Saccharomyces cerevisiae S288C: one gene and its partner. The gene in region 2 interacts genetically with the main gene of each other region. Each region holds a gene or a part of one and is shown on either strand. Other genes may lie near its edges.

Region 1 (4,569 bases), on a different chromosome or scaffold from region 2:
CAGGTGGAAAGTACATAGGCGACATTTGATAAGGTGTATACGGAATCATAGATGGGTGTCCGTAAAATGACCAACCAGATGGATTGGCTTGGTTTTGGGTCATCATGCACTGCTGTGGGTACGGCCCATTCTGTGGAGGTGGTACTGAAGCAGGTTGAGGAGAGGCATGATGGGGGTTCTCTGGAACAGCTGATGAAGCAGGTGTTGTTGTCTGTTGAGAGTTAGCCTTAGTAGAAGCCTTCTCACATTCTTCTGTTTTGGAAGCTGAAACGTCTAACGGATCTTGATTTGTGTGGACTTCCTTAGAAGTAACCGAAGCACAGGCGCTACCATGAGAAATGGGTGAATAATTAGATAATTGTTGGGATTCCATTGTTGATAAAGGCTATAATATTAGGTATACAGAATATACTAGAAGTTCTCCTCGAGGATATAGGAATCCTCAAAATGGAATCTATATTTCTACATACTAATATTACGATTATTCCTCATTCCGTTTTATATGTTTATATTCATTGATCCTATTACATTATCAATCCTTGCGTTTCAGCTTCCTCTAACATCGATGACAGCTTCTCATAACTTATGTCATCATCTTAACACCGTATATGATAATATATTGATAATATAACTATTAGTTGATAGACGATAGTGGATTTTTATTCCAACACAAAATGAGATATGTCAGTATGACAATACGTCATCCTGAACGTTCATAAAACACATATGAAACAACCTTATAACAAAACGAACAACATGAGACAAAACCCGTCCTTCCCTAGCTGAACTACCCAAAAGTATAAATGCCTGAACAATTAGTTTAGATCCGAGATTCCGCGCTTCCACCACTTAGTATGATTCATATTTTATATAATATATAAGATAAGTAACATTCCGTGAATTAATCTGATAAACTGTTTTGACAACTGGTTACTTCCCTAAGACTGTTTATATTAGGATTGTCAAGACACTCCGGTATTACTCGAGCCCGTAATACAACAATTTACAACAAGATTCGGGCGTGTGGCGTAGTCGGTAGCGCGCTCCCTTAGCATGGGAGAGGTCTCCGGTTCGATTCCGGACTCGTCCATTTTAATTTTTGATTATGGAATACAAAATGTATATTTCGTATAAAATTATCTTTATTGTTTTTGTGGCTTAGTGATTTTCATTCCCCTCTTTTCTTTTTCCTCTCAGCCTGCAAGTGTGACGCGATCTGAAAGGCGTTTTACCCGCAAAACGCCAAAGAATCATCCTGAAGCGGTAAATTCTAGACTTCAGATCACATACGCTCTATTTGGACAGTTTTTTTTTTTTTTTCATATTCCTGATCAGATGAAAGTTAACGCTATTTTTGGTGAAAACACAGAATAAAACAGCTTCTGATAAAATTTAACTAGGAACGTCGAAAACAACAACCGTTAAAATATTTTTAGCTTACAGAAGCACTTAAGAATCACTAACGTTTTCTTCTTTTTTTATTTTCAGTCCAAAGCTTTCGTATTGCTGCAAGTGCTCGAGAAAGCTGCATATTGTTATTGTATTCGTCCTCTCGTACTAGTGTTCATTACTTTATCGTCTATAAATATATTGTTGTTAGAATTTTTCTACTAAGGCAAGTTAGTAGTTGCACAACATTTCTCTCGTTAAATCATCTAAAGTTTACAGAATAGGTATACCACTCACTCCTTTACTCTAATGCCTTTGAGAAATCTAACTGAAACGCACAACTTTAGTAGCACAAACCTGGACACAGATGGTACAGGCGACGATCATGATGGTGCTCCTCTTTCCTCATCTCCTTCTTTTGGACAACAAAATGACAATAGCACCAACGATAATGCTGGTCTCACAAACCCTTTTATGGGGAGTGACGAAGAATCTAATGCGCGGGATGGAGAATCTCTGTCTTCTTCTGTTCATTATCAGCCACAGGGGAGTGACTCTTCACTACTTCATGACAATTCTCGTCTAGATCTAAGTCAAAATAAAGGTGTATCTGATTACAAAGGTTACTATTCCAGGAACAATAGTAGAGCTGTGAGTACGGCTAATGATAACTCATTTCTTCAGCCACCACATAGAGCTATAGCCTCTTCTCCTTCTTTGAATTCTAATTTATCGAAGAATGATATTCTCTCACCGCCAGAATTTGATAGATATCCCTTAGTGGGTTCCAGAGTCACTTCTATGACTCAACTGAACCATCATGGTCGCTCGCCAACATCATCTCCAGGAAACGAGTCGTCCGCCTCATTCTCTTCTAATCCGTTTTTGGGCGAGCAAGATTTTTCTCCATTTGGTGGGTATCCTGCTTCATCGTTCCCACTTATGATAGATGAAAAGGAAGAAGATGATTATTTACACAATCCTGACCCCGAAGAAGAGGCAAGACTGGATAGAAGGAGGTTCATAGATGACTTCAAGTACATGGATAAAAGGTCTGCTAGTGGGCTAGCTGGTGTATTGCTCTTGTTTCTGGCAGCCATCTTTATTTTTATTGTTTTGCCAGCGTTGACCTTTACCGGTGCTATTGATCACGAAAGCAACACTGAAGAAGTTACATATTTAACTCAATACCAATATCCTCAACTATCCGCCATTAGAACATCTCTGGTTGACCCAGACACACCTGATACAGCGAAGACAAGAGAAGCTATGGATGGCTCTAAGTGGGAATTAGTATTTTCTGATGAGTTTAATGCAGAAGGCAGAACATTTTATGATGGGGATGATCCATACTGGACAGCCCCTGATGTTCACTATGATGCTACTAAGGATTTAGAATGGTACAGTCCAGACGCTTCCACAACTGTGAACGGAACCTTGCAGCTGAGAATGGATGCCTTTAAGAACCATGGCTTATATTACAGATCAGGTATGTTGCAGAGTTGGAATAAGGTTTGTTTCACGCAGGGTGCTCTAGAAATCTCTGCAAATCTACCAAATTATGGCCGTGTTTCAGGTTTGTGGCCCGGTCTTTGGACTATGGGTAATTTAGGGAGGCCCGGTTATTTGGCTAGTACCCAAGGTGTCTGGCCTTATTCTTATGAATCGTGTGATGCTGGTATTACACCCAACCAAAGTTCCCCGGATGGTATTTCTTACTTGCCGGGACAAAAGTTAAGTATTTGTACTTGTGATGGTGAAGATCATCCGAATCAAGGTGTTGGTAGAGGAGCTCCAGAAATTGATGTTTTGGAAGGTGAAACTGATACTAAGATTGGTGTAGGTATAGCCTCTCAATCCTTGCAAATTGCACCTTTTGATATCTGGTACATGCCTGACTATGATTTTATCGAGGTTTACAATTTCACAACAACGACCATGAACACTTATGCTGGCGGTCCATTTCAACAAGCCGTATCTGCTGTCTCAACTTTGAACGTAACTTGGTATGAATTCGGTGAGTACGGTGGCTACTTTCAAAAATATGCCATTGAGTATCTGAACGATGACGACAATGGTTATATCCGTTGGTTTGTTGGTGATACTCCAACTTATACTATTCATGCTAAAGCCTTACATCCTGATGGTAATATTGGTTGGAGAAGAATCAGTAAAGAACCAATGTCGATTATTCTAAATCTGGGTATTTCCAACAATTGGGCTTATATTGATTGGCAGTATATTTTCTTCCCAGTGGTTATGTCGATTGACTATGTTAGAATATACCAACCAAGTAATGCTATATCCGTGACATGCGATCCAAGTGACTATCCAACATATGATTATATTCAATCGCACTTAAATGCATTCCAGAATGCAAACTTAACTACTTGGGAAGATGCTGGTTACACGTTCCCTAAGAATATCCTAACTGGTAAATGTACTAGCTCGAAGTTCAAGTTATCCTCTTAAGCGGGTATTTTGATGGTAAATCTACAAGCCCTCGGCTTTAATTATTACCATGGTCATAAAAAGTTACTTACAATGCATACATTTTTCTTTTAGGAAGAAATAAAATATAAAAGACTTATCGTTCAAATCGGGTCATAAAGGGAACTAAAGGTATACTAAGGTAAGACGGGGTTCTCATCTGCACGTAATTTTTTATTATTTTTAGTGAGGGAGAACTTTACCTCTAAGATTGTTTATATAGGTATACACATTTTTGTAAAACTGATTATTCGTTTTTTTTTTTGAAACAAGTTATTAGTACAAAAATCAAGCTCTCACTACTTACCAGTAGTTATTTTAGTAGAATATTATTAACTCTACCGAATAAGTACGATATGAGAAATTGCTGATTTACTTGTGTGTGTTCCTATTATTATCCAGGAGCGCCTCTAATCTATGCTTATAATTTTACGTTGAAAAAAAAGGAGTCTGTATAATTATTTCAAATTCATCCTTTTCTCACGGATATTGTGTACCCTATGAGGTAAATAATTGCGCTTTATTTTCTCCCTGTGTTTGCTCGCTCATCTTAAGACGAAAAAAGTAATGGAACACCTACCATCAATAGAAGTACCACACTCATGTAAATAACAAGCGCAAGTGGTTTAGTGGTAAAATCCAACGTTGCCATCGTTGGGCCCCCGGTTCGATTCCGGGCTTGCGCAGATT
Region 2 (3,571 bases):
GTCTACCAGTAACACAAGTAAAAATGGCCAGCGAAACACCAAGAGTTGACCCCACAGAAATCTCCAACGTCAATGCTCCTGTGTTTAGGATAATAGCGCAAATCAAATCACAACCCACTGAATCTCAGTTGATTTTACAATCGCCAACCATATCATCGAAAAACGGCAGCGAGGTTGAAATGATTACGTTGAACAATATTCGTGTATCTATGAATAAAACATTTGAGATCGACTCGTGGTATGAGTTTGTTTGCAGGAACAATGATGACGGCGAGCTAGGATTTTTGATTCTAGACGCTGTACTATGCAAATTCAAGGAGAACGAAGATTTAAGCTTAAACGGTGTGGTTGCTTTACAGAGACTATGTAAGAAATACCCAGAAATATACTAGCTAAAATCGCTTTTATTCTTACCTTTATGTACTGTTGCCTCTATATGTCTTCCCTTCATATAATAAATTCCATTTCTAAAAAAATTGTAGTTGTGTTTATAGATGTATAGATAGATAAATGAATGTGTACTTGCTGCCTTAACGCCTTCCGCTAAAAACTTTTTGATATTTATTTTATTTTTAACCTTTCCTGACTTCAACCCTTACTGTAATGATGATAGTAGAAGCCGTCTATTTTTCATACTTTTCTCATGTTGATTTTCCTTGCAGACAAAGACAATCTCTTGGATGGTTTGTACCAACCACCATTATCTGAAGGCATAGATGCAGGAGTAGCGTAGTTTACTCCCGATGATATCGTATAAGACCAGCCAGGAGTTATCGTAGTTGCTTGCTCTGGCAATGACCCAAAGGTAGAGTAATATGTCACAGCACTAGTGGCAAATTTCCTTGTCCATGTGGTAGCGGTCACTTTAGTATTTGGCTGCATTTGCATTGGAGCGAAACGCGACGTACCAGTCTGCTTGGTGTACGGAACAGTAAATGAACGACTGTCAATAGTAGTGGCTTGGGCGTTGTTTGTAGTGGTTGTTTGAATAGAAGTCTGGGGAGTAGGTTCAGTTGTGGCACTATATGTATAAGCCGTAACACCGCCCATGGAAGTCAACTGGAATCTTGGTGTATAATGGATAGTGTAACCTTGACCGTCCACCTGGGCAAAAACTTGAATGTAATATTGACCGTTCCCAGTTAAGGTCGAAGCAAACTCAGCTGTGTAAGAGTAAACTTTATCATCTTGTGTTAGCTCACTTGGAGTAATTTTACTGGCAAGTACGGCCACACAGTCAATGTTGTTATTAGGACCAGTACAAAGACTGAACGTGAAAGTTGAAATCTTGCTTAACGAGGGATATGCCCCATTATCCATCCATTCAACGGGAACAGAGACAGTACCACCACTTGGACTGAATGTTGCCTTGGAGCTGGGGGAAACAATATTCACATCTCCCAGCACAAATGAGACTAAAAACACCAAAGCACATATGATGGAATTTCTTTGTAAACGCATTATCTATAATATGTCACAGTTGCTGATTCTCTGAGAAGGAAGTAAAAAGCGAAAGAGTAGATTCCTAGTAATCAAAACAAAGTGTGAACTGCCACTTTTAGCGCTTCTTGGAACTATCAAACTGGAGCAAATCTGGCTTCAAGAATGCTTTGAGACTCCTGTTCTATTCCTGTATTATCCTTGAAGATCTTTTTCGAGGAAAAAAAAAAAGAAATGTAAATAAAACACCTAATCGTCAAAAGTGATATTATATTGAACCGCCGTGGTTACGATGGAATAATGGTCAATACGCAGTTTAGATGGCATCCAACAATTCAGGATGGCCAATGATGTTATTTTAGTTTGAATTGATTACTTTTGAGCTAGTTTAAATTCGATTTAAGAGCCATTAAGTAGGCATCACGAATAACGAGGCCGGACGTTTGGCGTTTAGGCCATTGGCGAAAAGACGAAAACAAACTATATCAGATACGCAAGAGGAATGTGTAAAGGCCATGCAAGGCGCGATATATTGGTACATCGAGGCGCGTTCAGAGACCAATTGTGATACGGTTTGCAAGCATGGAGAATACACTGGGTGAGGGGTCCACGGTAAACGCTTCCGTGGACGTGGACCAACATGGCAATGACAACAATAGTGATAGCAACGCTAATGCAGCTGTGGCAGGGGTTGCCAATACAGATACTGCTGGTGAAGAATCGCAGCAACAAGATGAGTCTCTGAAGGATGAAGCAACTGTTCCGAACACACGCGATGCAGAAAGTGAGGCGATAACGGTAACGGCAAAGCAGCAGCCGACTATGCAAGCGAATAAGCTAGATTCCCAGGAAACACCTTCTACAGAAGAAAGCAGGGCCCAGAACGTCTTTGGCCAAGATAATGAGGATAGTGATAATCTCTTTGGCGAAACCGAGAGTTCTGTTTCGAACAATGAGGCAAACACTCCTAGTATACCTACGAACCCGGTAGACAATGAAAACAATAAGCCTGCTATTAAGGAAGACAGCACAATACAGGATTCAAATGGTGACGTTAAAAACATGGAGGACGTCAAAATACAAAAAGAGGAAGAACCAGAGAATAACACTGTTATTGAAGGTGTCAAAGAAGAAAGTCAGCCAGATGAGAACACAAAGGAAATGGATGAAGTGGAAGAAGATGATGAGGATGACGATCAACCGATGATTAGTCCTGATAATTCCATTTTTGGAGACACAAAGAGTGAGTCTAAACAACTAGGCAACACTTCGTCGGTTGCTAATACTCCATCTGAAATTCCAGATGCGCATAAAGCTGAACAGGAGGATATCATAGAAAAGACGGAAAGTGTAGATAAGAAGGTAGATAGTGGCGAAGAGAGAAACGAACAGGAACGTGAAATCATGAACGATCACTCCAAAAGTGCCAATCCAAAGAAAACCACTATCACCAGAGTAGAACCCGAAACTTTTGAGATACCGCAAGCACATGAAATTGTTATTCCAAGTTATTCTAAATGGTTCAATCTAGAAAAAATTCATTCCATTGAAGTTCAATCGTTACCTGAATTTTTCACCAATAGGATTCCATCAAAGACACCTGAAGTTTACATGAGATACAGAAACTTCATGGTAAATTCTTACAGGCTGAACCCCAACGAATATTTCAGTGTCACTACGGCGAGGAGAAACGTCTCTGGTGATGCTGCTGCATTATTCAGATTGCATAAATTCTTAACAAAATGGGGGCTAATAAACTATCAGGTTGACTCCAAACTATTACCTAAGAACATCGAACCCCCACTAACGTCTCAATATTCCACAAGGCATGATGCCCCCAGAGGACTATTCCCATTCGAAAGTTACAAACCATCTGTACAACTGCCGGATATGGCAAAGCTTAAAAAAATGATGAACACTAGTGATTCGGAGAGTACTTTATATAAATATTTGAAAGAAAGCAAAAGAAAATATGATGAAATAACTCACCCCCCCAGTACCACTGATGATGAAAATGGTGACAAAAATGATAATGGTGGTAAAATGAACAATGAAGTAAGTACGTCAACAAGCATGACTGGTGATGCCAATCTATTGGAAGAAGGCGAAACTTCACGTCCTCTGAAAAAAG

The links.
Region 1: mutations in KRE9 (region 2) and KRE6 are lethal when combined (synthetic lethality), as found in Saccharomyces cerevisiae (one study listed by BioGRID).

The regions. Positions count from the first base shown.
Region 1 is NC_001148.4:855,885-860,453, forward strand, and holds KRE6 (beta-glucan synthesis-associated protein KRE6), read left to right. Parts: upstream 1-1,698; coding exon 1,699-3,861; downstream 3,862-4,569. Other genes in the region: YPR158C-C (gag protein), read right to left, coding at 1-373; YPR159C-A (uncharacterized protein), read right to left, coding at 4,430-4,531. UniProt on the Saccharomyces cerevisiae protein: Involved in the synthesis of (1->6)- and (1->3)-beta-D-glucan polymers of the yeast cell wall in vivo. It is required for full activity of beta-glucan synthase in vitro.
Region 2 is NC_001142.9:92,982-96,552, reverse strand, and holds KRE9 (Kre9p), read right to left. Parts: upstream 1,462-3,571; coding exon 631-1,461; downstream 1-630. Other genes in the region: RFA3 (Rfa3p), read left to right, coding at 24-392; SWI3 (Swi3p), read left to right, coding at 2,023-3,571. UniProt on the Saccharomyces cerevisiae protein: Involved in cell wall beta(1->6) glucan synthesis.